Linked DNA regions of Callithrix jacchus. The protein of the gene in region 3 interacts with the protein of the main gene of each other region in a pairwise test. Links are inferred from orthologs where the notes say so. Each region holds a gene or a part of one and is shown on either strand. Other genes may lie near its edges. The genes, in order: EBNA1BP2, SYT17, FAM9B, SNX20, TRMT61B, LYRM2 and CCDC106.

Region 1 (4,515 bases), on a different chromosome or scaffold from region 3:
TTCCTGATAAGACCCAGAACTAGAACAGACACTTGCCCAATATTTATACCAATGAAGCTTTTAGTCTTTTTTTCTCCCATCCAAAAAGTTCCCTTCAAATCCCCAAGGGAAAGGGAAAGGGAAAGGGAAGGAAAACGTCATCGGTCACCTGCTGCAGCTCTGCCTGAGACAGCTGGCCCATGGGTCTGGCTGGGACTGGACCCTCCTGGGGACCAGGGTGGGTAAATAAATGTCAGATGTGTGCAAGCGGAATCTGCAGCCAGCAAGCCCTGTGGGGCCCCTGGCTCCCTTGCTCCTCTGAGTCAAGCCCCTTTATTATAAAGGGGATACCTTTATAATGCTCTGCAAAGTGGCAGCATGAACACCTGCAATGCCACACCATTGTCTCCCCACCCCACTCCTCCCAACCATCCTCTGATCCAGCCTGCCCTGACCTTCTGGAGGGAAAGGACATCTAAAGCTGTGCCACCCAGTAAGGACACAGCCACGTGACAGATGTGGTACCTGGGCATTTGCAATGTGGCTGGGATAAATGAGATGCACTGTAAGTGTAAAATAATACCCACCAAATTTTGAAGACTTTCGGTTCACGCCTGTAATCTCCACACTTTGGGGAGCCAGGGCAGGAGAATCGCTTGAATCCAGGAGTTTGAGAACAGTCTGGACAACAGAGCAAGGCCCCCATCTCTATTTTTAAAAATAAAAATAAAATACCCTGTGCAAGATAAACTGTAAAATAGCTCAACAACATATAATGTGTTTTGGAATTAAATAAAATATATTAATTTAACTATATTAATCTTGTGGGTTTCTTTTTCATTTTTGAATGCGGCTTTTTGACAAGTTTAAATTATATATGTGGCTCACGCTATATTTCTAGTGGACAGAGCTGTTCTAGAATTATGACTGGCCCCCAGTCATCCCCACGGAACAAAGCAAAAAGATGCAAAAGCAGGTCAAGCACAATTATTTTGTGAACTGATAATTGCAAGATAAGTGTGATCTTGTTTTTCTTTTCTAGTTCACACATCAGGAGGAGAGAGCAAGAGACATCACAGGGACTGGTCCAGGAGATGGGGGGCAGCTTATACCCACTCCAGCCAGCCTGCCCTTCGCCGGTCCAGAGGGTAGTGTCTGCAGTGCCAGATTTGCCTACTAGAAGCTCCAATGATGTCCCTGTTAAACTTCAGAACTCTCCATGGGCACCTTACACAGTCCAAGTGCCTCACTCTGGCCTTCAAGGCCATGAACAGCCTTAGCCAAACTTGTCTTTCCAGCTTCATCTCACATGCTTCCTGCTCAAAACCCCCACACCTGTCCGTTCACACTTTCATTTCATCCACTAATCAATCATTCAACAAATATGTATTGATTACTTCCTACATATTAGCTACTGAGGTCATGATGATTAGCAAGAGGCACTGTCCCTGTACTTGCTGGAGACCACACATCTAGCAGGGGATGACAGGTAAGTACACAAAAGGCACTTAAGCACGTTGCAGTAAGAGTAGTTGTTGGGGAAGCACAGAGGCCATGGGTACACCAAAGAGGCACCTAAACCAGCCTGCGAGTCAGGGAGGGCTTCCTGGAGGAGGTGGCATCTCCATTGAAGAATGCAAATCACGCAGACTGAGGCTGGGAGTGGCAAATATCCCAGGCAAGGGACAACTCTTAAGTTCAAAAACGGGAAGAGCAGAGAGGAGAGCAGGGTGCCAGTGGCAAATGACTGGCCTGGTGCATATGGCAGGGGCTTTCTGAGCCTTGTGAAGGAGTGTGGCATTGATTTTCAAGTGTTTATTCTAGGAGCTCCTGTCTCCCACCTGAAAGGCCTTCACCCCCTCACCGCCCCCACTCCATTCCCTGTTCACTCAAATCCTGCTTCCCCAGCAGGATCCAGTCTGTGGGGTAAGCCAGGCATTTGAGGCTTGAGGGAGAATGAGCAAGGGGCTTGTGGAGGCTCCAGCCCAGGGCCAAGGAATGGAGGTACTGGGGCTGCATTTGGGGGTACGGTGGTGTTGGAATTTGGGGCTAAAGCTGAGTTTGAGGTTGGTGTTGATTTTGGGGGCTGGAATCAGGAACAGGAGTTGAGGTTCGGGCTGAGTGTGAGGTTGAGATCTAGGATCTTAGTCAGAATTTGGATTGGAGTTAGGAGTTGGGGGCTGAGGCTTCTAGCCAGATTTTGGGTTGGATTTGCAGCTGGAACTGGAATTGGGTTTGGAAACGGGGCTGGGGGTTGGGGTCGAAACGTGCGGCAGGAGCTGGGGCCGGGGTGGAAGCTGGAAGTTCTAGCTAGGGTTTGCAACTGCAGCTGGAGTTGGGAGCTGGTTTTGAAACTGGAGCTAAAGCTAAATCAGGGTCAAAGCTGGGGGCGGGTTGGCGCCCAGGCTCTGGGGCAGATAGACGACATTCCTCCTGCTGACCAGGTCTGCGAATTGTGTTCCGAGCCCTAACAGCAGCAGACAGAAGCCCCTCCCTTCCCAGGAATGCCTTTGCCAAGCAGAAGGAGCAGTGCCACGTCAGCCAATCGGCTCAGGCCCTGCCCTGGAAACGACACCTGTTCATCCTCCTCCCCCCACACTCACCTGAGTGCAGGTTAGGCAGGTGAAGTATCTCCCCGGAAACAGAGCTGGAGTGCCCCACCTGCTTGGCCCTGCCTTCTCGGATCGGATTCAGCACGTCCAGGCTTCTCGTGAGTTCCCCAATAGTCCCCCCAGGCCTCACCGTCCCCACCTTCTCCCACTAGCTTTTCCTCGGAGAACCTCCACCCCCACCCCCAGCCTGGCCCCCACTGGCTCAGCACACCTGTGCAAGCACTTTCAGACCAGCGAAGCCACAGCCCAGGGGAATGCTGGGACTGACTCCCTGGCCACGCCCACCTCCCCCACTTCCTTGGGGATGGCGGCACCAGCCCCCACCCACCTAGAAGGTAGGGATCAGCCTCTGCAGAGGAGTCTCGGGGAGGACAGATACCTCAACAGGATGTAACCTGTGCACAGCCACATAGTAATATTCCCAGAATGACCCAGGACCTACATCTTCTGCACTGTCCTGCCTTGGAGGGGGTAAATCGTTTTCATGTATTCAAAAAGCACGCTTTGAGCATCTATGCAGGCTCTAGGCCCCATTGGAATTCTGAAACAAAGATGTCAGGTGACTTATCCCCACCCCTCACTTTTTTTTTGTTATTGTCCTCACTTTTCAGATAAGGAGACTGAGACTCTAAGAGATGAAACCTTCAGGCTTCCTGGCCCTTCCCCCAGGCCCCTCTTCTGGGCTCTGCAGGGTCCACACCCGCACTTAGCACAGGGACTGGGCCTGTTTGCTTCTGTCTCTCTCCTGCTGCAGACTGGGGCTCCCTGAGGGCAGGGACCACATGTGCTTTATTTCTACCCAGTGTGAGACATGCTGTCCTCTGGAAGGCAGGTTAAATGAGCAACCACTGCTAGGTGCCTGGCCAGGCTCCTGCCAGTGGGAAGGACTGGAGCTGGTGTCCAAATCCAGAGCCCTCCTTCTTCCTTGCTCCACTTTAGAGGGATCATGGAGGAGGATGGCATGGGGGAATGGCAAGTGTGGAGAAGAGCGAGGAGAGCGGGAAGACCAGTGAGGAGGTAGAGGCGGGCCGTGGAGATGACTGCAGGGAACTGGCTGGAGAAATGTTTCGAAGTGGAGCCGGGGGACAGGACAGATACAGCAGAGGGAGGAGGAGCTGGCTGAGAGGGTGGGGATGCAGTGCCTGAAGTGAGGAAGCAGGAGGAGCAGGTTGGGGTAAGATAATAAGCTTGGGTTGGGACCTGTTGCATCACCAGGGACATTGAAGTGACAGCTGACTCAGGAGGGAGGTCTAGGTTGGAAAGAGAAATTTGGGAACTGGCAGTTTATATCACCAAACTTGTGGCTGTGAGATTGGATGTGATGTTAGGGGAGGGAGGGTGTTAGGGGTCTGGTCCTAACCCACAGAGAAGGAGGAGACACAGCCCTAAAACAGAAGAGTCAAGGTCAGTCAGGCTTCTGGTTCCAGAAGGGTTAAGTCATAAGCACCCCCTCCATACCCACAGCTACCCCCCCAGGAACCAGTGGTGACAGCTGAGGCCATGTGAGTCAGATCCTGAATGAGGCTTTATCTCTGGCTGATCATCCCATCATCCACCGTGGCACCAGCTCCCTCAGCCAGCCGGGATGGGACAAGCGACTGAGAGAGCCAGAGGCAAAGAGCTCAGAACCTGGGTGAGGGGACTCCCTGGAGGGTTTGTGGGGTGGGGGGTACTCTATGGGCAGGGCACTCCCCTGGGGTCATTGAGAGGCATTCCCAAGGGACAGTGCTGCAGAGGGGGCTTTCCCAGGGGAGATTTGGGGGTGACACCAGGGTGGATTCTCAGGGACCATCCCAAGGCTCCCAGGTGTGACCATGGGGGACAGGTGGGCTGGGAAGGTAAGACTGTAATCTTTCCCCTACAGGTGATGGTGACCATATCCTGGACTGTGAGAGGAATGGGACTCCGGGCCTGTAACTGCCAA
Region 2 (4,389 bases), on a different chromosome or scaffold from region 3:
AGTAGCTGGAACCACAGGCACTCATCACCATACTTGGCTAATTTTTCGACACTTTGGTGAGCTTGGGGTGGCGGAGGGGTCTCACGATGTAAGTGATCCGGCCCCCTCTGCCTCCCAAACTGCTGAGATAACAGCCATGAGCCACTGCGCCCAGCCAGAATTACTTACATTTATAATCGCCGACAAGGTATCAAGCATTCCCAACTACTTTTCCACATTCCAGATTCATTGACTCCCTACCACAACTCTGATCGAAATACTATTCTTTTTGCAGCCAGGCACGGTGGCTCAAGCCTGTAATCCCAGCGCTCTGGGAGGCCGAGGCGGGTGGATCACGAGGTCAAGAGATCGAGACCATCCTGGTCAACATGGTGAAACCCCGTCTCTACTAAAAATACAAAAAATTAGCTGGGCACGGTGGTGCGTGCCTGTAATTCCAGCTACTCAGGAGGCTGAGGCAGGAGAATTGCCTGAACCCAGGAGGCGGAGGTTGCAGTGAGCCGAGATCACGCCATTGCACTCCAGCCTGGGTAACAAGAGCGAAACTCCGTCTCAAAAAAAAAAAAAAAAAAAAAAAAAGAAATACCATTCTTTTTAGCATCGCATTTTATAGATGGGACATCAAGGCACAGAGAGATCAATTTGCTCAAGGTCACAGAACTAGAAATAGTAGTGAAGATTACACAGCCTGGATACGGAGCCATTTTGCTGTGAAAATATTTGATACTTGCTTCTAAGAAGAAAAAATGAGAGGCCTGAGGCATGAGCCCCAACCTGAAGAGAAAGACAGGGCACCAGAGACTTTTGGAATCTCAGGCCACGGACTGAGCTAAGACAGCACTGTCTCCTTCCACCCTGCCAGGCTCCAGCTGTGGGTCCTGGCTGCTGTCTCTCCCTCCTGGGCCTGCCCCTCCGAGTCATGAGGAGCTCACTTGATGTCTTCCTGACCCTTCTCAGCCCCGACCTTCTTGACTGTACCCAGGCTCTCTGACCACTTCCCTCTCTCAGTCACGGAGAGGTGGACCAGACACGTGGCTGAGAAGCTTCAAAACTGCGTTCCCAAAATATCTGAGCGACTGGCAGATGGAGATGTTGTATGCAGGCGCGGGAGGAGAGCGAATTAGAAATAAAATGAAAGATGCCAGAGAGAACATAAACAGCGTTGGAGGACAGGATGGAGCCCGGAGGTGCTTTTCTGCTTCCCTGTTTCTGAAGTTCTTGTTCAGAGCAGCAAAAAAGCACTTGTTTCTTTATTCCGTCTACCCATCCATGCAATGGATATTTACCGAGCTTTTACTATGTGCAGGCCCTGGACTGGATGCCAGGAAATCTTGTCACGCTGACTTGGATGGAAACCTCAGAATGTGGTTAGCCCTTGAAGAATACAGAGACTCACAGACCTCCTTCTCTGCTCAGAACAACATTCCACATGACTAAAACGTCCCACACGCTTAGCATTACACAGTTCATATCTCCAAAGGCCCAATGTGCCACTAGGTGAACTAAAACCACACCACCAGCTGGTCTCGCCGGCTTGCTGAACAAAATGAGGGGTACAGAACATATCCCCAGTCTGTAGCAAAGATGTCCATGGAAACTCAGCCTGCTGCTCTTTCATGCCCCCCAGATCCTCCCTCCCATGGCCCAGGCCCCCAGCCCCCTTCTCAGAAAAAGGGAAAAGTCTTGAAATTGATTTCAGAGAAGTTCAGAGCAGTTTTACTTACAGCCAGGGAGGGGTCTGAGCAGGGAAAGGTCCCAGAATTTCAACTTCATCCTCACTCGACTGGCAACAGCTGGACTCGTAGCACTTCTGACAGCAGTGCCGGCAGGTCCATCTGCACAGCAGCAGATCAGAGATTCTAGAAAGAAAACCCTGAGGCCATTGGGGGAGGGGGGAGGAGGGAGGGGGCGGGGGGCAAGGGGAGAAGGGAGGTTGGCAGGGTGAGGAAGAGGAGAAGGAGAAACAACACCCAAAATTACAAGCAGCCGATCTTGGATGAGAAAAAGACATTCAAGGGTTCTGGTTCTGCTGCTCAGCACTTAGAACAAAATGTTTTCCATTTCTATTTACCAACTGCAGGCACAAAGATAGCAAACATCAACTTGCTGGGGCCATTAGTAGCAAGTGAAACATTTGCAGGTATTTTCTTTTGTAGTTTATGTGAACGTCTTTCTTGACATGTGGGTGGTTTATACGACATCATGAGGCTATACAATATGTTCTTGAAACAGAATGCATATTACTCTGTCTTCTGAAAAGCCGGGAAAAAAATTTTTTAAAAATAATCTCGGTGACATGAAACAGACAGAGATAATCAAACGGAATAAGTAGGGGTGGAGAGGGAAACTTGTTTTGTCAACTGGTGTCTTTTCAAAACCGGGATCTCCTTTCGGTAAAAGGAATGGAAACTGAGCTGTTATGAACACCAACCAGGTTACTGTAGAATATTCAATATCCCCACAGCCCCACATAAGACTCCAAAATGAAAGTCAGGCATTTCTTGATTAGAAACCAGACCAAACAAATCATCACATGAACCCACCTCGTTTAATGGTTCCAACTGCCCTTTTAAGATCCACGATGAAGCCAAGGGCGTAAGGGAATGAAGGGGTTAAAGAAAGAGAGACAAGACCAGTTTAGCAATATTCCAGCAACTCAAAAAAATTTACAAAAAAAAAAAAAAAAGCCCTGCATATTTCCACTTACCATCCTGGGAAGGAAGCTGACTTCCTAACAAGGTGTTGCTATTTTCAGGGCTGCTGGTAGCCTCCCGGTTAACCAACACCAAATAAATGAGAAACTCTAGCATTTCGATCTGATTTGCACCGTATGCTGTTATGAATCAGAGCGGGCAGATAGATAGTCATGCTATCCAATACAGCCACACTTCAGGAGAAGAGCAAACCTTCCTATACAGAAATAGCCATGTAGCCAACCCGAAAGGACATGATTAGCTAACATGCAGGCAGGCACACAGTGGATGGTACTTGGGTCCCCCGCCCTCCAGGAGGCCCTACCTTCCAATTCTGCTCCAATGGTGATAGTGGGGTGTTTCCTATCACCACCCACAAACAGAGGGAACTGAAAAGGAAGCCCTAATCTGGTCCTCTTGAGGAGGGAGGCCCTCCCTTCCTCTTCTATTGTGAGGCCCTCCCTCTCCTCTTGTGCTCCCACCCTGCCTCCCCATCTTCGTCTCCTGGGTTCTCAAAGCACAAACTCCCTCCTTCTCTTTAAGATGGTTTTCCAAATGGGCCAAGTGGACTAGATAGAAGTCCTGCACCCCAACCTCGGGCATGTCCCAGAGGTGAACTGAGGCAGGACTCAAACTCAGAACTTTGAATCAATGGGGAGAAAGTTATTATCTTCCCCCCACCCCCACCCCATTCTCCTTCAAGGAGGAGAAAGTCTCAATTTGGTACCATTGTATTTTTACCACTTACCAATTCCTACCCTCCCCCAACCCCTTCCTTTTAAACAAACGAAGTTGATCTAGCTCAGAGCCTTGAAGATAGCCCCATCCACCTAGAATTCAGCAATGTGGCATCATTCCCATTATGCTTATTCTTCTAGTTGCCTTCTGCCTATGTCACATGATCTGGATTTCCTATGAGAGTCATGACATGTTTCCTTTTCATACCATTTTTTTTTAAGTAAAAATAAAAGTGAGCCCATTTATAGGAAAAAAGTTAATAATAGCATAGGTAGGGCTGGGCGCAGTGGCTCATACTTGTAATCCCAGTATTTTGGGAGGCCAAGGTGGCTGGATCACTTGAGGTCAGGAGTTCGAGACCAGCCTGGGCCACATGGTGAAACCATGTCTCTTTTAAAAATACAAAATATTAGCCAGGTGTGGTGGCAGATGCCTGTAATCTCAGCTGCTGGGGAGGTTGAGGCAGGAGAATTGCTTGAACCAGGAAGTTGCAGTGAGCCAAGATCGCGCCACTGCATTCCAGCCTAGGCAAGAGTGAGACTCCATCTAAAATAATAATAATAATAATAGTACAGGTGGCACATGGCTTGTGAGAAATTCAAAATCCTTGAAGTAGTAAGGGAATAACAGCTTGGGAAATAGTCTAAAGGCATTCATCACAAATGTCTCTAAAGCCAAAACCATACACAGAACAAGACCCAAAGGTGCTAAGGGGCCACACAACAAGCTGAGTCAAGAGGTTCTAGAGTCCTAGTCTCACCATCAACTGATCATGTGACTTGAGCAAGTAGGGGCCTCTCTGAGCATTGGTTACCTCTTCTTTCATGGAAAAGCTACTCTATACCTCAAAGGGGTGCTGTTGAGGTAGGACAGGACACTGACCATGCAAATGCTTGCTGTCCAGCTGAAAAACAAAATGCACCCTGTCTGTGACTATAATTAGGTGACTGTCAAGACC
Region 3 (4,522 bases):
AATATTTTTCAAATACAGTATCAATCTATAACACACTCAATGTATTAGGCAACTCACAAAACCAGCACTTTGTCACCACCAAGCGAGCAAAGCTTTCCAAATATTCTGCTTATGTGTATTATCGCTATAGAAAAGCTGAAAACTGAATTGAGCTTTTTAAAAATAAGAGTATTGTCTCCATCATCTCTACAGAAATTTTCTCAAACTTTTTTGAAAATACGGTCCTATAACAGTCAGTGCAACTAACATGTAACATGCCTATACAAAATGTATGAGTTTTTGGATCCAATGACATGTTTCCCACTGGGTAGAAAAGTTGTCTTTCCTTTTCTACTACACAGTTTATTGCTGGAATAATAATAGAAAATCATTTTCGAGAATTCAATTTTTTTAAACAAAATCAGAAAGCTGTGACAATAGAATAGCTGAATTAGAAAGATGAAAAACTCCTATTAAACACTCTGAGTACATAGGGACAGGAAGAGGAGAACAACAGACACCTGGGCCTACTTGAGGGTGGCAGGCAGGAGGAGAGTGAGGATGAAAACCACCCAGCAGGTACTATGCTTATAATCCTGGGTGACAAAATAATCTGTACACCAAACCCCTGTGACACGCAATGTATCTAACAAACCTGTACATGTACCCTCAAACCTAAAGTAAAAGATTGAAAAAAAAACTGATATATGACTTAATCTGTGTACACTGAAAGGATTGAATAGAGCTGTTTCTCCTCCAATGTCCTCTAATATCCCCCAACAATTAACTTTCCATGTGTATGAAAGAAAAGCCATCCCTCTCGATTCACCATTGTTAGAAGCATTCTTACATTACACATTAATGATCACAAAGGTAAGAAAAATTTATCAAACAGATTATGGTAAATACTTAAGTTAAATGCTACATATGAGAAGAAGGCATGTAAGACAGTCTGTCATCCACTAATTCACATAACCTACTGTAACAGTTGTACCGTTGAAAACAATTTTCATAAACTACAGATACTTCCTAAGGCATACCTGCAATATCTTCTGGCTTGTTGGTATCAACCCTATAAAAAAAAAAGTTACATCAAAATTTTAACATAGGACTACACAAAATGTCGTGTTTGTTGGGAAAAAATGTCTTATGTGAAATGTTCTGCATAGACTAGAACGGTGATGACATGATCCAAAGCTGACTTTTCCTAAAAGGCTCTATCCGACAGACAACAGTGACTTCACACTTTACCCCTCATATTCATCTGTTTCATCAAGAGGTTCTCTTTCCCCCTGCTCAGCAGTTACATCTTCCTCCTTTGTTTCTGTAAAAGGGTTTCTTTCCTCACGTTCATCAATTACTGGATCCTTTCCTGCATCAAAATTTAAAAGACAAATCCGTTTTTAGAGGAAGACGCTGTTGTGGACATTTTTCATGGAGAAACGTACCGTTTGTGGACTTGTTTTTGGCTGTCTGCCAACTAAAGCTTTAAAGCAGGGCTATACGTGGAATCACCGGCTCCTGACCATTTAATGGAGGCACTTTTGGAAGCCCTTGGGGTTCAAGTCCCAGTAAACGACACACTACAGGTCAGACTCCTTGGACGCCAGGACCTCAGCCATGGAGAAGAGCTACTCTGAGAGCACCTGTAACCCTGCCTGAGGTGGAGCCTCCCGTGGGAAGTCTAAGGCCCTCGAGCCTGCTTTGAAAACCGGGATGTCTTAGCACGTGCACAGTGGACTCCAAAGCCATGAAGAGGCCGGGGACCTTGGGTTGCCAGTGTGATCCCCAGCAGAGATCAGACAGACGTCTCCTTGGGCGTGCGCCTGCTTCCGGGTCCCCTTGGGCTGTGTTTACCTGCATGCTCTTTGTCCTGGGCAGCCATACCTTGAGCTTCCAAGTGGGCCTTGGCAGCCCTCCTGCTGTGCTTTCTGCCCCTGCGTTCCATGGCTGGCCGTCCTGGGAAACTAGAGGCGACCCCGGAACCTGGTGAGCGCAAAGACGACTAAGGAAGCTAAGGAAACGAGGCGTCAGAAAGGAAAGCCATTGGGATCGCGGGTTCAAGATGGGTGGGGTTGGCCCTCCCCGAGTCTCCTGTGGGAGCAGGAGGGAGGGAGAAGATGCCAGTGTCCCCTCCCGTCCTGGCCCGTCCAGCCCGTCCCCGGGGGTGGCTGCAGAGTTCACAGCTGCCTCACACACCTGAACTCCACGGCCTCTGAGGCATCCTACCCGCGCCTTTGGGACAGAGTTTGGCCTTGCCCTTGGATCCCCAAGAGACCCTGAGTGGCTGGGAGGGCGGCGGAGTGACACAGGATCTCCCCAGCCATCTCCAGAGGAATGTCAGGAGCTACACTGCCACTCGCTCTCCTGGATGCACAGGGCACCTCCAGTGACCTGAAGTGTCCTGTTCTGACAGGATGCTGGGCAGGAGAGACCCACTCAGACCGTCCCCCATAACGCCCCCGGCCCGCCTCACTCCCCTCCCCGGCACCGTCAGCCCCTCCCCCTTGCACACCTACAGAAGCACCCAGAACACTCCCTCGTCCTGGGGGGCCACCCAGGTGGCTCCAGCTCCCTCCCTGCTCCAGCCACCCCAGTCTACCCTCAGTGCCTCGCCCTGACCTAGGCCCCAGGTGAGGACCCCAGGACCATTTCCTCACAGGTCAGCTGGCGCCCAGCTCTTCACACCCTGGTTCCCAGACGGTCTTGTGCCCACCTTCCCACCTCCCTGCCTCAAGTGCGTCACCTGAGGGACCCCTGATGTGGCTCCTTCACAGAACCTACAGAAGACACTGGCACTACGAGACTGTCTTAGAAAGAGACCCGGCCTGGCTTCCCACGCTCCTCACTGATTGGTCAGCTCAGTGCGCATGCGCATGCGCATGCCGGTGAAGGACTGTGTGGGGCCAACCCCCTGCTGCCACGCCTCTCCTTCCCCTTAAGGGACCGACCAGGGCTTACTGTTGACTGAAGTTGGGGTGGCCCTTTGGGGCCTCCATCCCCACAATCTTCTGGCTCCTCCTCTTGGGGTGGGATGCAAGGACTCGGAATGGAGGCCAAGTGGACAAGGCCTCCTAGCATCTCGCCCCTGGACTCGTTCCAGCCACCCCTGCCCCTTTGGCTGGAATGGCCATCACCCTATGGGTGGTGCCCAGGCTCCTTTCCATTCCCTGTGTGCTTCCAACATGCCCTGCTGCATCCTTTTTATCAATGGATTGCGCTTTTATGTTTTCTGTTTTTGACACTGAGTCTCGCTCTATTGCCCAGGTTGGAGTGCAGTGGTGCAATCTCGGCTCACTACAACCTCTGCCTCCCGGGTCGAAGCTATCCTTCTGCCTCAACCTCCCGACGAGCTGGGATTACAGGCTCCCAACACCAAGCCCTGCTAATTTTTTAAATTTTCTTTTCTTTTCTTTCTTTTTTTTTTGAGACAGAGTTTTCGCTCGTTACCCAGGCTGGAGTGCAATGGCGCGATCTCGGCTCACCGCAACCTCCGCCTCCTGGGTTCAGGCAATTCTCCTGCCTCAGCCTCCTGAGTAGCTGGGATTACAGGCACGCACCACCATGCCCATCTAATTTTTTGTATTTTTAGTAGAGACGGGGTTTCACCATATTGACCAGGATGGTCTCGATCTCTTGACCTCGTGATCCACCCACCTCGGCCTCCCAAAGCGCTGGGATTACAGGCTTGAGCCACTGCGCCTGGCCTAATTTTCTTATTTTTATTTTTTGGCTGATCTCAAACTCTTGACCTCGGGTGATCCGCCTGCCTATGCCTCTCAAAGTGCTGAGGTTACAGGTGTGAGCCACCCCACCAGGCCCACAACCTTTTTTGTTTCCTCACTACTTTTCTTGCCCACAGGCTTGCCCAGGCTTGCCCACAAACCCTCATGCTCCAGACTTTTCCAGACATATCCCACAACCTTCACCCTCAAATGCCTTAATATCGTTAACTCAGCTTGTTTCCACCTCCAGTCTTCTATAATAGGTCGTAAAGGTTGTTTTGGAGTTGGGAGTGAATAAATACTGCCTAGAGTTGGTAAATCGAGCTACAGAGGTTCATTATGTTATTGAAATTATAAAGGCAGTCATCAGGAAAACTAATCAACAGCCTTTAATGTCTATATAACGAGAAAGAGCACACACAAAGCATACAAATCCTGTGGTAAAAGTTGAAAAATAAAGAAAATACTACAAACAAAGACCATAACATAACATAAAGGAACAGAATTAAGGCCAAGTTAATCTGTTGAGCAAGAAATATGAATGAGATAAACTCACATTCTAAAGGAAATGACTTCCAACTTGGATCCAAATAAAAACCTAAGTACATGCTATATGTAAGAATGGAACTAAAACAAAATGATACAAAAATATGTATCAGAAAAATATGAAGAAAAGGAAAATATGAATCTGGGAATTAATATGTTACAAATGTAAAATAATGTGAAAAAAATAAATGAATAAACTAAAGGCAGAGCACACTGAACAAGAGGAGGGCACAATCTACTCTGACGTGAATCGTTTTGTGCTTAACCCAAAA
Region 4 (3,778 bases), on a different chromosome or scaffold from region 3:
AATTATAGCCCCACCACGGTCTAGCTGTGTGGTTTTAGATTGGTAATTTAATCTCTCCGAGCCTCAGTCTTCTCATTCATAAAACGAGGACAGGCATAGTGCCTACCTCACCCAGTGAGGATTAAATGAGACAATGCCCTGAAACCACATGGAGTTGTGCCCAGCATGCCATTGGCAGTCAGCAGTAGCTTTGTTATTATCCTGGTCCCAGGGAAGTGAAGGAGGATGAAGTGCGGCTCTCAGGACATCTTGAACATCTCCCTAACACAAGCTAAAATTCCAGTCTAACAGGGAGAGCAGCCCCTGGGCTCAGGGCCTTCCCAAAGCCACAGTACCCAGCTAGAATTTAACAGCAGCGGGTAGCTTTCCTTGTATTGACTGACCTTTCCAGTATGGCTTTTCTAGTTACTTTTTTTTATGCCATGTGATGTTGGTTTTCCCTTTAAGGTATTTCTCTTCGAAATAAATGTATCTTGTGTTTTAAAAATGTGATCCAATTTAAAGAAAACAATAAGTAATAATAATTATAATGGATACAGGGATATGGCAAAATTGGTGAAGAAAGGATACAGGTGACCTACACCGGATAAGATGGGATGAAACCGGACTATTTCCTTCTTAGGACCAAGAAGCATGAGTTGTATGGTTGGAATCCTCACAGACGCTAGCAGTACTGAGCCTGAAATCTTACTCTTTGGCTGTTTTCTCTGGAAGAATGCTGTGAGTTAGAGTGTGTCGACCCATTTCATAGTTGGGAAAGCTGAGGCCCCACAAGATTTGTTCAGGGGCAGGAAGGAAGCAGAGTGAAAGAGGCGCCGCCATTTCCTGATCTCTGCTTACCACAAACTTGGAGACTTTTCTCTCCTCGATGCGAGCTGAAGCGATCTCAAAGAGCAGTTTGACGTGCTTCCAGCGGCATTTCTCATTCTGCCAGTACTGCTGAAGCTCCCGCGTGGTCATGCTAGAGTTGGAGCTCAGGCCGCTGTGCATGTCTGGAAGGACAGCACCCTTTAGGATCTGCACCCGGTCAGTGCACTTTCGAGGCAAGGGCTTGGGGAGATGGCTAGGTGGATCTGAGATGGGACATCAGGACTCCTAAAGAGTGCTGAATATCTTTCACTCCCACCCCACCATTTATAGGACCAAGCAGGGCATCAGGCAGACCTCTGTGTCCAGTCTGGCTGAATCCACCCTCCAACTGACAATCTCAAATAGCCCATCATCCCCAAGTGGTTTCTCAGCTGTGAAATGCAGTGCAGGCACTTTGCATCATCCGGCTTTGGTCTGCGGATTGGCCTTGGTGAAATCCCTGCTCCCGACAAGCAGAGACCGTGGCTTGTGTGTTTCTGAGCTCCCTGCACCCCTGACTTCATGATTGTTGCCAGGACTTCTTGAGCACACATTGGTGGGCAGGGGAGGGGGGAGTGATGAGGATGCTGTGTTCCAGCCTCAGCGGGCTGGACCTTCCTAACGTTCCCATCTAACTGCCCACGTGCCAGGCTTTTCTCAGACACACACTCCTCTGCTTTGCATCCAACCCTCTATTTCCATGCCTGGAAAATGAACACGTCTTTCTTAAGCCCCACTTGAGCTCTGAACCTCTCTGAGCTTCTTGAGAAGTGCAAATAATTGCGCATTTTATAAGGCCATGGGTCCCAGCTCTTTTCCAATCAACCCTTCAAGACCCAACCCCCGCACCACTGCAAATGCCCCTTGGCATTAGAATAAGAACCTCCCACCTTGCTCCTATAGCCTTTTTTTGTGGCACGTCTAACTACTTTTCACTGATCTGTTTCTCTGCCAAACCTCAGGGCCAGTGCAGTGTTTGATCTGTTCTGTTCCTGCTTCCGCAGTGCCCTGCATAGGGCCGGGAACAGAGCAGGTGTTCAACAGGGGAATCTTGAAGGATTGTAAGAAAAGGTTTGTTCCAGGAGATGGCGCTACAGCAGATGCTGTCCTTGCCCATGGCTGGGCCATGCCTTTTTGGCACTCACTTTTCCAGAACATGCTACTGGCTTCCCTGAAGGCTTTCCAGGGCGGTAGCAGCAGACCCAGGAGCGTCCCTTCTCTGATGCAGGGAAGGACTGGTAGATAATAGCCTGGCTTCCTCACCCCTGGGATAGGACAACCCAGAGATATGTTCCAGGGTCTCCCAGAAGACCCCTGCTGGAGTTGGGCCTCAGCCACCTACCATGAGCATCTGTTCACTGATGCCCTGCACTGGCCTCCTGCCCTGCGCTCCCTCGATTGCCCACTCTCCTGCTGTGACTCCTAGGACCATCTCCCGGATAAACAGCTTGCACAGATCTGTGTCTTAGTGTCTGCTTTGGGATAACCCAAATTACAAGAGCTGCCCAGGCCTCTTGCTGCATCTGCCAAAGCGACCCACATTTGTACTTTGAATGTCTTCCGACATCTCCCCCAGACCGAGTCTCAGGCCTCCAGCCCACCTAAGTGCCCATCAGGTCCCGGGTGCAGGAGGTCAGGGCCAGTGGCTGGTGCTTCCTGCTTGGTCCTTGCAGTGCAGTGGGTTATGGGTCCCGTCCAGCCAGGGCTCCCAGGGTGCTCTGGACTTGCCATGCTCCAAGTCTGCCAGAAGAACAAGAGAACAGTGAGTACCCCCTCCAACTGGGGTTCCCCTTGGCTCCTGGAGTGCCTAGGAGCTGTGTCATGTCCCCTGCTGGCAAGCAGAGGGAATGACAATGGCCCCACCGCTCTCCCAGCTGCCAGATCCCAAACCTGGGTCTGCCCCTTTGCTGCGCAGGAAGGCAGAGAAGACCCTTCGCCTACTGTGATGATCCATGTGTTATTGAGGTGGTCCTTACGTACTGCTCAGAGTTTTAAATGAGATGATTTCAAGCAAAAGGATTGGCTTTAGCGATTACTTGAGAGAAAGATGCTGGCTTGTCCAGATACTCAGTTTTACGTTACACATGTAAATGATGTCTGTGTTCAGGCTGGGCATGGTGGCTCATGCCTATAATCCCAGAACTTTGGGAAGCAGAGTCAGGAGGATCACTTGAGCCTAGGAATTTCAGACCCACCTGTGCAATGTAGTGAGACCCTGTCTCTAGAAAAAATGTAAAAAAATTATCCAAGGGTGGTGGTGCACACCTGTGGTCCCAACTACTCAGGAGGCTGAGGCAGGAGGATCCCTTAAGCCCAAGAGACTGAGGCTGCAGTGAGCTATGATGATGCCACTGCACTCCAGTCTGGGTGACAGAACGAGACCATCTCAAAAAAAAAAAAAAAAAAAAACGAAAGAAAGAAAAGAAATCTCAGTATTCAGCGCAGAGCAGGTAGATACGCTGGTATGAATCCTCTATAGATCAATCAATCCATTATCCATCTATCAGCAAAATTAGTTGTACCGATTTCACCTAGGTTCTTCACAGCCCCTAATTTAGTTTAATGCTCACAAAAATCTATCATTACCACCAAATAACAGATGAGGAAACTGAGGTCTAGCTTAAAGTCATGCAGCTGGTGAGTGTGGGCAACAAGCAAAGGTGAGTTTTTCCCCAGTGCTCAGTGACATTCCAGTATGTGCCTGATACCCAGCACACACGTTGGCACTAGCCTGACTGCTGGCTGCAGTCAGGAGTTTTCTTCTCCCTTTTATAAGGGAACTGAGACTCAGAGTTGCCAAAAATGAAGAGCTGGTGAGTGGTGGGCAGGATACAGACCTAGGCTGGGTTGACTTCAAAATTCTCTCCACCTTACTCAGGGAGGGAGAATAGGCAGCTGGCATCTGGTTCACATAATAACTCTGTCTGTG
Region 5 (4,277 bases), on a different chromosome or scaffold from region 3:
TACTAAGATGGGATTACAGGGAGATCAGTTTTTAAAAATCAGTGGAGGTATTCTCTTAAGCATTTCAAAGTTGTAAAAGTTGAAGTCAAACTATCTGCAGCCTATTTGGAGGCCATAAAGAGAAGTCAGCACCTAGCAAATTCAGTATTTAAATTCCTTCTTAGAATGGAATTTTATCTGTGACAAATGGAAAGGCAGAAAGTACATTAAAGATGCATATTTATAACTTCATGAAATAGAACTAATCTCTCTTGATTTTGTCTAATGGGGAGAAAGCAGACATGGGGAAGCAAGATAAAATTACAGAAGTCTTTTAGTTTTCTTCAAGAGCTATGATACCATGGCCAGGAGCAGTCGTCCTCACCTGTAATCCCAGCACCCTCAAGGGAGGATCCTTTGAGCCTAGAGAAGTTTGAGACCAGTCTGAGCAAATTAGAGTGACCCTAACTCTACAAAAAAAATGTTTTTTGATTAGCTAGGCATAGTGACATGCGCCTGTGCTCCCAGCTACTCAGGAGGCTGAGGTAGAAGACTGCTTGAGGCCAGGAGGTCAAGGCTACAGTAAGAGGTTATTGAGCCACTGCACTCTAGCCTGGGTGACACAGCGAGACCCTGTCTTTAAAGACAAAAAAGCTTATGATACCTCAGCAGCCTAAGTTTTCTTAGTCCCTGGGTACACCTTTTAAAATACAGACTGGATTCCTACTCAGAACCTTCCAATGGTCCTTCACTATACATGGAATAAAATACTCCAACCACACCTCATACTGGGTCCCTCACCTGACCCACTCAGGCACAACAGGAATGCTGCTGTATTCCTCCCTTTGCAAGAACAATTCTGTTCCTAGATCTTTACAAGGCAAGCTCTTCCTTATTTAGGATTCCTATCAAGTGTATCTCCTTAGTGACCATCTCTACTCACCTGACATAATTATGTTCCTACCCCAGGTCACCCAAAACGATGTCATTGTTAATGTTATTTGCCTTCGTGACACTCAATACTACTGAAAATGACCTTATTCTTTCATTTACATGTTTGTTCTTTGTCACCCCTTCCAGAGTGTAAGGTCTACGTTGAGAGCAAGGACTGCAGTTCAACACTATACCGCCCTAAATAGTGCCTTGAATATGGAAGGCAGTCAATTATTTGCTGAATAAATAATGAATGAATCCTGATCTGGAGAAGGAGGGAGAGTTGTGTTACACAGGAACATTCTACTCAAGGACTGTGACTGTGACTAAGGATTGAAACAAACTGCTAGCAATAGATGATTATCATAAACTTCAAACTAGGGCTGGGAACGGTGGCTCTCGCCTGTAATCCCAGCACTTTGGGAGGCTGAGGTGGGTGGATCACTTGAAATCAGGAGTTGGAGACCAGCCTGGGCAAGATGGAGAAACCCCATCTCTACAAACATTAGCCCAGTGTGGTGGCACACGCCTATGGTCCTAGGTACTCAGGAGGCTGTGGTGGGAGAATTGCTTGAACCCAGGAGGCAGAGATTGCAGTGAGCCAAGATCATGACACTGCACTCCAGCCTGGATGACAGTGAGAACTTGTCTCAAAAAAGACTGAAAGTAGGCTCTAGGCAGTTAACTTTTTAATAAAGAATAGTCATTTTATGTTTAGTGTTGACTGTTAGCTATGTTAATACAAAACTCTATTTCTTCCCTAACAAGAAAAGCACCGTATCTATTGTTGATAAAATATACTCTCATAACATGCCCTACTGAATATGATTAAAATATCACCATAATAGTGTTACAAAATTGTTCCCTAAGAGTTCAGCATTCTCTTGAATCCTGAGTAACGAGGAACAAAATTAGTGCTTATTATGTACCTACTGAGTTCACATCACACTAACAGAAAGTTGAGATATTACCCACATTTTACAAACAAGGGAATCGAGACTCCCAGTTAAAATTAAAATCTAGTTGTTTGCTAATTCTAATTTTCATCGTGATATGTAAAAGTTATATCCATTGGTTTATTTTAAAAGGCTAAGTATAATTTTAAAAAATCCAAACGTTCTGAGCTGTCCTTTGAGTATACTGATCAGGACTGAGTACTGCATCTGTCTTTGCTCCTCCTGGAACCAATACACACCTTATCTCCATCGCATTACCTTTGGGTACGTTATGGCAGCCCCTCTTTTCATCAATAATATATAGTCTTCTAATGCTGGCCTCCTCATCATGAACTGCTTACCGGAGGAACTCCTCAGTATCTGGCCAGGGAACTTCCCCACGATCTTGCTGAACGGGACTGCCCCCCAGTTACTATTTAAGAGTCCGACGTTGCTCAACCTAAATAATTTCTTAAATTGTGTTTCTCTCTCCCCAGTCTCAGCTAAAATCAGTTCCCCAGCCTGGAAGGGTCTCTCTCTGGAAGCTGAACAAGAAGAGGAGACATGAGGCTCTTTGACCTCGATAGCGCAATGGGCCTGCGACAGCATCGAGGGATCCTCGGATCCCTGCTGTGCGGGACCGCACCGGCCCCGGTCTCCGCTCGAGTCCTCGCGCTCTGGAGGGGATGACTCTTCCCGCGGCGTCGGAAGTCTGAGGCTTTCCACTGACGAAAGACATCCAGTCCCAATGTCCGAGATGCTCAGAGGAAGAGATGGGCAAGACTCTGCTCCTGGGGTTTTCCTCTGTACTGTCTCGTGCTCTCTTTCTCTGTCTCTCAGATCTCTAGGCGAGGACCTGCAACACAGTGACCGAGCTCCCTTGAAGGGCTCTTGCCCCGGGCGGCGCAGGAATGAATTGGTTCCGAGATCCTGCCGCAGGGATAGCAAAACAGGACCGCAACGCGCCGCCATCAGCATAGTGTTTCGCGCAGGCGCCGTCGCAGACGAGTGACGCAGGCCCCGCGCGACCACTCCTTTCACCGTCGCGCGCACGGCTCAGCAGCCCGAGGCTCCCACAGTTGCGCAGGGCTCTACAGCTCCGCGACTGCGCCTGCGTCGCGAAGGAGGCGGTCGGCCTAGTGGAGCAGTGGCGCAGAAGTCGCGTGAGTTGCTGGGTTAGTGACCATTCAAAGGAGTATGTCCTCGCGCGCAGGCGCCCGTTTTCACTTTAGGAATGTGGGCAAAGGGAAGAATTTACCGCTAACAGACGTCCTCCAGGTTCGCTTGGGGACCGGAAGATTGAGAGACAAAACTGGCCAAAGCGCTGTGCAGCTGTGAAGTCCCAGGCTTAGCTCGCTGTGTTCTTGAACACGGAAGTTACCTAGTCACCCCCAAGATGTATGAGTAGAGCTAACCCCGGCATGCATTTGACAGACGGCGTGGGACGGGCTACTCGCTGACCGGCTCTCCTTTCCCAGTTGACCGGGACATCCCCCAGCCCCAAGTCCTTTTAGACGGGGCTGTGAACATCTGCCGGTCCCCTCACCCACCCATCCGGGAAGGTCTATTCGCGTATTCACTATGTGCTTACGTAATAGATGTTTTTATGATTAAAATATAACTAGTTTACCTCCCAAAATAGAAGCGGCTTAAAATGGAAACATACCTTTGGAGCCCAAAGTTATTTAACATTAAATAACTAGCTTCCCAGCATTTTGGAAGGTCTAGGCAGGCGGATCACTTGAGGTCAGGTGTTGGAGTCCAGCCTGGCCGACATGGTGAAACCTCGTCTCTACCAAAAATACAAAAATTAGCTGAGCATGGTGGCTTGCGCCTGTAATCCCGGCTACTAGGGAGGCTGAGGCAGGAGAATCGCTTGAACCCAGGAGGCAGAGGTTGCAGTGAGCCTAGATTACGCCATTGCACTCCAGCCTGGGCGACAGAGCTAGACTCCATTCCGCGGGGGAAAAAATTAGTCGGGAGCAATGGTGCACGCCTGTAATAATACCAGCTACAAGGGAGGCTGACGGACGAGAATAGCTTGAACCCTGGAGGCGGAGGTTGCAGTTAGCCAAGATGGAACCACCTTTGCACTCGAGCCTGCGTGGCACAGCAAAACTCTTTCTCAAAAAAAAAAAAAAAAATTCACTAGCCTCTTTGCTGGATATTGGTTCACTGGGCAAAAGTTTATGGAGAGTCTGTTACAATTCCGTAGCAAAGCCACTTTATGAGTAAAAGAACTGGCCCAGGGAGATTCAATAATTTGGGCAAACAGGCATGTTGGCTTACACCTGTAACCCCGACACTTTGGGAGGCCCAGGCCGAAGGATTGCTTGATCCTAGGAGTTCAAGGCCTGCCTGTGCCATATAGGGAGATTGCCATCTACAAAATATATATATATATATATATTAATAATAATAAGTTGGTCA
Region 6 (4,204 bases), on a different chromosome or scaffold from region 3:
GAAGTCTTTCCTCTTCTTTCTGGTTAAGTGCTTCAATGTGCTCATTAAGCTTCTCCTTCCCTTCCCTTTCCAACTGGGATCTAGATTCCCAGTGGTGATCTTTTTGACAAGTCCTCTATCAAACCACGACACATGTAAAGAACATATCCGAACAACCCTCAGGGATAATACAGGATTTTTCGAGAAAGTTCCAGGGTATCTCCTGATGTCAGTATACTCTCAGTCCTACACCTAAGAGTTGTTTTTCATAACAGCTTTATTGAGATACAATTCATATCTTATATTTAAAATGTACAATTCAGTGGATTTGAGTATATTCAGAGTTGAACAACCTACACATCAAGCTAACTGTAGGATATTTTCATCACCCTGAAAAGAAACCCTCCACCCATTAGCAGTTACTCCATTCTCCTACAGCCAGCCTAGGCAACCACTAATCTTTCCACCTGTTCTGGACATTTCGTTTAAATGGAATCATGATCTTTTGTGACTGGCTTCTTTACTTAACGTTTTCAAGGTTTATCCATGATTAGCATATATCAGTCCTTTGTTTTTTTTTACTTCCAAATAATGGTTATGGGCCTAGGGGTAGAATTGCTAAATCATACAGCAGCTCTGTTTCATCTTTTGAGGAACTGACAGTCTGTTTCCTGAAGTGGCTGCACCATTTTACATTCCCACCAGCATGTATGAGGGTTCCAATTTCTGCACATCTTCAACACTTTTATTATTTTTCTTTTTAATTACAGCCATTCTAGTGAATGAAGTGATAACTCATAGTTGTGTGTTTTCTTTTTTTTTTTGGAGATGGAATCTCACTCTTGTCACCCAGGCTGGAGTGCAATGGCATGATCTCAGCTCACTGTAACCTCTGCTTCCTGGGTTCAAATGATTCTCCTGCCTCAGCCTCCCGAGTAGCTGGGACTACAGGCATGCATCACCACACCACGCTAATTTTTGTACTTTTAGTAGAGATAAGGTTTCGCCATGTTGGCCAGGCTGGTCTCTAACTCCTGACCTCCAGTGATCCACCTACCTTGGCCTCGTAAAGTACTGGGATTGCAAGCGTGAGCTACTGCACCCTGCCTCATAGTTTTGATTTACAATTCCTTAATGATTATGTCCAGCATCTTTTCATGTGCTAACTGGCCATTTCTTAGTGGTTTTTACTTCTTTTAAAAACTGCAGAGACATCCATAAACATTTTGAAAATGTAGCAAATACTGTACATACAAATAGTAAGACTGGGCTTTGTGCTGTCCATCATTAATCCTAAATGCAACAAAACACATGGAGACTTTGAAAATCCTTCAGAATAATGATATAGTTAAGATTTTGCTAAAGCAAGTGTTTTTTCTAACTCTTTGAGCTGCATATTGCCTTGAGTAATCATCATCCGGATTGTGTCCTGTAGAATAAAGTGAAATCTGGTTACTGTTTTACCTGGTTAAACAAGGTATAGCTATACCATTTTATTTGTTAAAATCAAGAACCAATACTAGGTACTGGAACTGCTGCCTTTTAGGAAAGCCAAAAGATTTCCACATATATAATACATAGCATAAAAGTCAAGTGATGATGTTGAAGAGTACAGATACAGCAATATTAAATTTTAAAATATCATTTAAAATCGGTAACATTACAAGCAATGATCAAGCTATGCCAGCTCGGTGGCATTATATTCCAAGATGTCTGCTAAACTTAAAAAAAAAAAAATTCACTGAACAATTAAAAGAATTAGGGTCTGTCCACACCATGATTTTGTTCTCACCTCTTCGGTGGCACTTTTGTTTCTTTTGAATTCTTCCCTTGCCCAATCCTTCAAGTATTTGCGATCAGAATCATTTGGAACTTGCCGAATTGTTTGCAAAATCCTTCTGTAGAGGAGAAGAACTTGTTGCCTTCTTATGAACTGTAAAAGAGAGGAGAAATAACAATTACTACTGCACAACCGCCAGCCTGGAAGGTTCTACTTCAGCAAACAAGCTGTAACCAGAATCCTTCTCATTGGTCAATTTCGAAAAAGGCAAAGACTTTTTTTTTTTTTTTTTTTGCCAGGTGCAGTGGCTCAGGCCTGTAATCCCAGGATTTTAGGAGACCGAGATGGGAGGAGCACCTGAGCCCAGGAGGTGTAAGCTGCAGTAAGCCTTGATTGCTCCACTGCCCTCAGCCTGGGCAAGAGTAAGACCCTGTCTCAAAAACATGTTTTAAAGAAAGCATCACGAGGTTCATCTGATCTTTCTGCTTACTCCTCTGTGAAACCTAAGAACAATTAAAAAATCGGCCAGGCGCGGTGGCTCACTCATGCCTGTAATTCCAGCACTTTGGGAGGCCGAGGCGGGCAGATCACGAGGTCAGGAGTTTGAGACCAGCCTAACCAACATGGTGAAGCCCCGTCTCTACTAAAAATACAAAAATTAGCTGGGCGTGGTGGCGCGTGCCTGTAATCCCAGCTACTCAGGAGGCTGAGGCCGGAGAATCGCTTGAACCCGGAAGGCGGAAGTTGCAGTGAGCCGAGATCTGGCCACTGCACTCCAGCCTGGGCGACGAAGTCAGACTGTCTCTACACACACACACACAAATCAGGAGCTGACTACCGGGCTGAAAAGGGCTGCCGGTCTCCTAGAAGTTGTCATCACGACGACAGCACTTTTTCTAAATTAACAGTTGTTCAAATCTGTGGTAATCTCATTTGCCATTTGCCACAGCTCAGTGCAACTGACAGCTGCACTGAGTAGCAGCGGAGCCGGTACTTGAGGAAATTAAGCACCTGGCGCACCTGACACGACCGCACTAAACCGAGTCAGCGGCTCTTGCCTCCCATCGGCCTACGCGGTGCGAAGCCCCGCCCCGCGGGCGTCGGGCTAGTATCAGAGGGCGCGCGCCGCGTCAGGATCCCGGAACCCGCCCCGTTAGATGGAGGGTAGATGGAGAATCCAGACGCTGAGACCCAGGTAAGCTACTCTGGAAGGCAGAGAACCGCACCTGCTTTAATGTTAGCGTCGCTGGGGGTAAACGGGTAGCGGCCATGTCCGCGAGCGGTCCGCCGGAGCCTCAGCGCGCAGGAGCGGAAGTGGGGGGGTTCCGACCAGAGGGTGTGGCGAGCCTGGTTTCCTGGAAGACTGCCGGCGGGTTTGTTACTAAGAGCGCGAGGTATCGGGACTGAGGCCCTAGGGTTTGGAGCAGGTTATGGGCTGCGCTGGCTGCAGTTTTCTCGTCGGTAAAATGGGATAGTAGTGCCTCATAGGGTCGTTGTGATAACGAAAGAAGGGCACTTAGCACGGTTTTTGGTAAAGAGAGTTCATCAAATGAGAGTGAAGGAGGCCGGGCGCGGCGGTTCAGGTCTGCAATTCCAAGCACTTTGGAAGGCCGAGGCGGGCAGATTACCTGAGGTCAAGAGTTCGAGACCAGACTGGCCACCATGGTGAAAACCCGTTTTTACCAAAAAATAAACCAGCCCGGCGTGGTGGCAGACGCCTGTAATCCCAGCACCTCGGGAGGCTGGGGCAAGAGAATCGTTTGAATCCGGGAGGTGGAGGTTGCAGTGAGCCGAGATTGCACCACTGCACTCCAGCCTGGGCGACAGAGCGAGTCTCGGGGGAAAAAAATAAGGGGGGGTTTTTTGTGGGCAAAGAGGGGAAAAGCATTTGTTCTTTTGGCAGTACTTCATTTGATCCCACTTGGCACAAGTCTTGAGACAGCAGAACAGAGGTTGGCTCAGCCTCTAGAGGCGTGTCTGAGGGGCAAGGGTTGTGTTAAGAGAGGAAAAGATTTGGCAATATGAATAGCCTTGGAGTGCATCTCTCTCTCTGTTCGTCCTGTGCTTTTCTAATACAAGCGTTTTCCCGGAACGGTGACCTTCATGAGCCTTTGAAACAAAGCTTTGAATGGCTGCCCCACTGCGGGGTTTTTTGTTTTGTTTGTTATTGAGACGAAGTCTTGCTCTGTCACTCAGGCTGGAGTGCAGTGGCACTATCTCGGCCCACTGCAACCTTTGTCTCCTGAGTTCAAGCGATTCTCCTTCCTCAGCCTCCTGAGTAACTGGGATTACAGGCGTGCGCCACCACACTCAGCAATTTTTTTGTACTTTTTTCTAGTAGAGACGGGGTTTCACCATGTTGGTCAGGCTGGCCTTGAACTCCTGAGCCACCGCGCCTGGCTCCCACGGCAGTTTTAAGCACTTTTCATAAGGAGGAGCAGAACA
Region 7 (4,403 bases), on a different chromosome or scaffold from region 3:
CTGTGGGGGGTGCTCACAGGTGGAGCGTTTTCTCAGAGGCCTGGGTTGGTCAGAGATCTTGGGGAAGCAGCCAGAACCAAGGACCTTAGGACCCCTGTGACTGTGTGTGCTTCCCATGGAGGAGGGGCTGGGTCTGGGAACCCAGGAGGCAGGCAAGGCCTTGGCTGGAGTCGGGGGGTCAGACCCTGAGAGAAATCAGGGGCCCTGGGTGCAGCAGGCTGGGTCCCACCTCCACCCAGACACAGGGTCCTCTAGAAGGCGGGTTAGGGGAGGGGTCTGGTGCAAGGGTCCCCGCTGGGAAAGTGCTGGGGCCGCAGGGCCCAACCTCCGTGCAAAGGAGTCAGAAAGTCAGTGGAAGGAGACAGTGGCAGGCAAGGGCAGCCGGAGGCAGTGTGCTTCAGAGCACAGGGAACGGCAGATCCCCAGATGCCACAGGCCCCTAGCCCACGCTTTTGGGGGAAAGGGTTGAATTTACAAAGAGAGATGTGGGAGCTTTTGAGGGGTCTTCCCAACCAGGGAGCTACCAAGGCTGAGCTGAGGGTAGGTGAGGTAGAGTGGGTCTTCAGGACATGGGCTAAGGGTCTGGGGCAAAGGGCCTGACCATCTGGAGAAAAGGTTGGGGCTGGGCTCTCAAATGTATGAAGCAGGGCACAGGGTCCCAGCGGTCAGAAGAGAATAGCTGTGAGCTGGCTGAGGCAGTGGGCTGCCTCTGGTCATGAATTAGAGCAAGGGACGAGGGTGGGGACTGCCTGGGAACCTGGTGCAGGGTCTGGGGGACAGCACATGCTGAGGCCCCACCTGAAGAGCCTCACTAAGGGACTTAACTTCTTTGATGGGGAAGGAGTGCTCATTAACCAAGGATGGGACACGGTGGGTAGGAAGACAGCCCCTGGTGTCACACAGGGGAGGGGACAGAAGAGGCTAGATGGCTGGACTCCTGGATCTCAGAGAAGACAGGCCTGGGAAGAGAAGCGGGGGCCCCTGAGGACACTCAGAGGACTAGGATGGGCTTCTCAGCCAAAGAGAAGCAGGAACATCCCCTAGGAGTCCGGAAGAGAGAAGCTCAGGTCCCTGAGTCCCTAAAAGCACCCAGGGCTGGGGAAACATGGTGGGACACTTGAGGCTGATGGAGAAGGCAGAACGGGCCCCAGGAGATCGTTCATGGGGTTGAGGCCTTGGAGGCCAAGCGAGAAGGAAGCTGGGCTTGAGGCCTGGAAACAGGCAGGGGACTAGCAGAGAGGGCCAACATGGCAGGTCCCACACAGCCAAACAGTGGAGCCTCAAGCCTGGGCAGGCGGGTGCCCAGGAGCGGGACAGGGAGGTGACAGGCCCAGTGTGTCCCACAGACACACCTGCATCCATTCGAGCGGAAGAGATGAACTTGTCCAGCTGGCAGCGCAGGAAGTCCCTCTCTTCCTCCAGGTCCTCGATGCGTTTCTGCAGCCAGGAGTTCCTCTCCAGGGCCATGTGCAGCTGGGCCTTGACGCTGTTCATCAGGGCCCGGGTAGGGGATGTGTCTTCAGGGAGCCCTAGGGACACAGCAAGGGCGGGGCCCAGGTCACACCTTGGGACTCAGGGCCTGGCTTCCCAGCTGGCTCCAATCCCTCCTCGGCCCCTCAGCTCACCCTCGAAGTTTCCCCGAGAGGGGCTCAGACTGTAAAAGATCTGGGAGTCTAGGTGGGGCGCCTCGTCGAAGGGGATGGAGATCTCGAAGGCCTCATCTTCCTTCACTGGAGAGGAGAGGCCCTGGGTCACCCCAGAGGAGTTCCCAAGCCCCTCAGCCCACCCCCCCCAACCACGGCAGCCTGGAGCAATAGCACTGGGACCCAGCTTCCTCACTTGTCCGCCTCCGGCTGGTCCGGTCATTCATGGTGTGGCTTCCTGTGGACCCCAGCAGCCGAGCGCCTCAGAGGCACTGGACAGAAACAGCAGCCACAAATGGAGGGACGCGGACGGACTCGAGGGTCCATCCTGGGGGAGGTGAGATGAGAGAGGAGGGAACCCTGGTCTGAGGGAGGAGGGAGCCCGGACGCCAGGACTGAGGCCAAACGTCCAGGTTCGAACTCCTGGCCTCCCAGAGACAGGGGCAGGGGGCCCAGCCGCCTATGTCCTGAGGAAGAAGTGAGCTGGGGACGTGGGCTCCTGGGTATGAAAGGAAGAAGCGGAAGCCCTAGGTAATTGCTGGGGCTCATCGCAGGCCACCTCCAGGCCTAAGCAAGAGGCAGGTGCAAGGGAAAACTGCCCCAACTTCCCAGGATAGGGGGAGGTCCGGCCGGTGCGCGCGGCCTCCCATACCCCCTGGGCTCCATGCCCCTCCCCCGCACTCGCGTGGGCGGGCGAGCCCTCCCCCGGTGGTGGGGGCTGGGCGCGTGCGCAGTACGGGGAAAGGTCACGCGTGGGGATGCGCCCCCCCCGCCCCCGCCCTTTGTCCCGCGGGTTGGGGGGGAGCAGTCGTGGAAAGATCCCAGCGGGGTCATGCAACAGGCCGGGGGTGCAAACGCGGCCACCATCCCCTGACCGTGGATGCCCGGGGTCCGAGGGGCCGCGGTCCCCCACGCTCACCCACCCGCGCGTGGAATCCGGCTCGGGGACCGACGGCGGCGGCGCCCATGCCCGGCGCCGGGGAATGTCTGCAAAGTGTCACGGGGAGCCGAGGGAAGCGCCCACTCACCCGCGAACAGGCGGGGCGGCAGGGTAGCGAGCCGTGGAACTGAGCGATGGAACGGACAGGGACGTGGGGACTCGCCCCGTCGGGCTAGGCCAGCGCGCCTCGTTCGAGAGTCCCTGGGTCCAGGTGAGGCCTGTCGTTTGCGGCAGAAGCAGGGGGATGCACTTGTGCGATGGTCCCTTACAGCACTCCCCCGCCCTCCCCGAAGCTCAGGCAGGGAACGTCACGAAATTCCCATCCAGGCGAGCCGGAGAGTCTCCGGGGGTCCCCGGGTTCGGTGGCGGTGTGCCCAGTGGGCCCCGGAGAAGGCAGGAGAGTTGGAGCGAAAGAATCTACTTTTAACGATCCCTCCGGAACTAGCCAGCGCGGACCCGCCCAGAGCCCCCGCCTCCCACAGCCAGACTCCAAGGTTCCCAGGGACGTGGGGGCCAAAATGGGGGAAGCTACCCTCTCCCGGAAAGCGAGGGCCAGGAACACGCCACCCCCACCCCCATGTTGGTAATGAAGAGCTAGCTTTGGAGCAGAGCTACATTCCAGTCCAGACTGTTCCTGCCCCTCCCCAGCCTGCTAACTCACCTGTGAAATGGGGACATGACAAGCCCTAAATTTCTTGCCAGCGTGCGGTGCTGTGACAGGCAGAAGCGCAGCCCAGCACCTGGCCATAGGCAGGGCTGAAGAGAGGGGCGCTGCCGGCATTGAGGCCACATGATGGGGTGTGATCGCAGCCTCTGTGAGGCTCTTTCCCACTTCTGGGAGTTGAAACAGATTTGTTCCTCCTCCCAAAAGAGGTCGGGAGAACAAACGCGGCCTAGCACAGGGCCTGGCACAAAACAGGCAAGGAAAGTGCACTCAGCTCCATCTGCCTCTCCTGTCCACCAGAAGCATCCAGCCAGCTCTTAAGAAAGCGAGGTCTTCACTCCATAGAGAATCTACATGTCTGCACCTCCTGCAAAGCTGTGACCATGACTCTCCTCCCCAGCTCACTTTACAGATAAACTGCAACCTGGTCCAAAAATTCCTGGGCGAGCCACCTGCCCTAGATTGGCCTCTTCCAAAGTACAAGATCGTAAGTGGAGAATTCAAAACAGGGTGGAATCAGCAGTTTAAAAAAATAATTAGCCGGGTGTGGTGGCACATACCCATAATCCCAGCTACTCAGGAGGCTGAGGCAAGAGAATCGCTTTCACCCGAGAGGCAGAGGTTGCAGCGAGCCAAGATGGCACCACTGCACTCCAGCCTGGGTGACAGAACAAGACTCCATCTCAAAACAATAATAACAGTTGATGGAAAAAAAAAAATCTGCATACTAAAGCTAACTATGGTAAAGAAATTTTTGTCTCGAGGCCCAGCACTCTGGGAGACTGAGGCATGTGAATCACCCAAGGTCAGGAGTTCCAGGCCCATCTGGCTAACATGGTAAAACCCCATCTCTGCTAAAAGTGCAAAATTAGCCAGGCGTGGTAATCCACACTTGTAATCCCAGCTATCTGGGAAGCTGAGGTAGAAGAGTCACTTGAACCCAGGAGGTGCAGGTTGCAGTGAGCCGAGACCACACCATTGCACTCAGTCCAGAGCAAACACTAAAAACAAACAAATAAAAGGCCTGTAATCCCAGCGCTTTGGGAGGCTGAGGCAGGCAGATCACGAGGTCAGGAGTTCTGAGACCAGCATGGCCAATATGGTGAAACCCTGTCTCTACTGTAATACCAGCTACCCGAGAGGCTGACACAGAAGA

The links.
Region 1: the proteins of FAM9B (region 3) and EBNA1BP2 interact in binary tests that used the Homo sapiens proteins (3 or more experiments, as listed by UniProt). The two-hybrid records come from large-scale screens. The link is inferred for Callithrix jacchus from reciprocal best matches to the Homo sapiens genes FAM9B and EBNA1BP2.
Region 2: the proteins of FAM9B (region 3) and SYT17 interact in binary tests that used the Homo sapiens proteins (3 or more experiments, as listed by UniProt). The two-hybrid records come from large-scale screens. The link is inferred for Callithrix jacchus from reciprocal best matches to the Homo sapiens genes FAM9B and SYT17.
Region 4: the proteins of FAM9B (region 3) and SNX20 interact in binary tests that used the Homo sapiens proteins (3 or more experiments, as listed by UniProt). The two-hybrid records come from large-scale screens. The link is inferred for Callithrix jacchus from reciprocal best matches to the Homo sapiens genes FAM9B and SNX20.
Region 5: the proteins of FAM9B (region 3) and TRMT61B interact in binary tests that used the Homo sapiens proteins (3 or more experiments, as listed by UniProt). The two-hybrid records come from large-scale screens. The link is inferred for Callithrix jacchus from reciprocal best matches to the Homo sapiens genes FAM9B and TRMT61B.
Region 6: the proteins of FAM9B (region 3) and LYRM2 interact in binary tests that used the Homo sapiens proteins (3 or more experiments, as listed by UniProt). The two-hybrid records come from large-scale screens. The link is inferred for Callithrix jacchus from reciprocal best matches to the Homo sapiens genes FAM9B and LYRM2.
Region 7: the proteins of FAM9B (region 3) and CCDC106 interact in binary tests that used the Homo sapiens proteins (3 or more experiments, as listed by UniProt). The two-hybrid records come from large-scale screens. The link is inferred for Callithrix jacchus from reciprocal best matches to the Homo sapiens genes FAM9B and CCDC106.

What each region holds. Positions count from the first base shown.
Region 1 is NC_133508.1:79,936,506-79,941,020, forward strand, and holds the start of EBNA1BP2 (putative rRNA-processing protein EBP2), read right to left. Parts: upstream 2,827-4,515; 5' UTR 2,583-2,826; intron 1-2,582. UniProt on the Homo sapiens protein: Required for the processing of the 27S pre-rRNA.
Region 2 is NC_133513.1:20,629,729-20,634,117, reverse strand, and holds the start of SYT17 (synaptotagmin-17), read right to left. Parts: upstream 2,980-4,389; 5' UTR 2,811-2,979; coding exon 2,708-2,810; intron 2,567-2,707; coding exon 2,544-2,566; intron 1,874-2,543; coding exon 1,725-1,873; intron 1-1,724. UniProt on the Homo sapiens protein: Plays a role in dendrite formation by melanocytes.
Region 3 is NC_133524.1:9,247,187-9,251,708, forward strand, and holds the start of FAM9B (protein FAM9B), read right to left. Parts: upstream 2,830-4,522; 5' UTR 2,726-2,829; intron 1,994-2,725; 5' UTR 1,928-1,993; coding exon 1,837-1,927; intron 1,352-1,836; coding exon 1,231-1,351; intron 1,052-1,230; coding exon 1,020-1,051; intron 1-1,019. UniProt on the Homo sapiens protein: May play a role in meiosis.
Region 4 is NC_133521.1:8,467,376-8,471,153, forward strand, and holds part of SNX20 (sorting nexin-20), read right to left. Parts: intron 2,590-3,778; 5' UTR 2,581-2,589; coding exon 2,451-2,580; intron 993-2,450; coding exon 841-992; intron 1-840.
Region 5 is NC_133515.1:86,190,215-86,194,491, reverse strand, and holds the start of TRMT61B (tRNA (adenine(58)-N(1))-methyltransferase, mitochondrial), read right to left. Parts: upstream 2,834-4,277; 5' UTR 2,826-2,833; coding exon 2,127-2,825; intron 1-2,126.
Region 6 is NC_133505.1:95,687,315-95,691,518, forward strand, and holds the start of LYRM2 (LYR motif-containing protein 2), read right to left. Parts: upstream 3,057-4,204; 5' UTR 3,031-3,056; coding exon 2,986-3,030; intron 2,955-2,985; exon of another isoform or gene 2,637-2,954; coding exon of another isoform or gene 2,598-2,636; intron 1,913-2,597; coding exon 1,772-1,912; intron 1,409-1,771; coding exon 1,328-1,408; 3' UTR 1-1,327. UniProt on the Homo sapiens protein: Involved in efficient integration of the N-module into mitochondrial respiratory chain complex I.
Region 7 is NC_133523.1:48,511,375-48,515,777, reverse strand, and holds the start of CCDC106 (coiled-coil domain-containing protein 106), read right to left. Parts: upstream 2,816-4,403; 5' UTR 2,672-2,815; exon of another isoform or gene 2,563-2,671; intron 1,972-2,562; exon of another isoform or gene 1,916-1,971; 5' UTR 1,871-1,915; coding exon 1,840-1,870; intron 1,731-1,839; coding exon 1,626-1,730; intron 1,530-1,625; coding exon 1,353-1,529; intron 1-1,352. UniProt on the Homo sapiens protein: Promotes the degradation of p53/TP53 protein and inhibits its transactivity.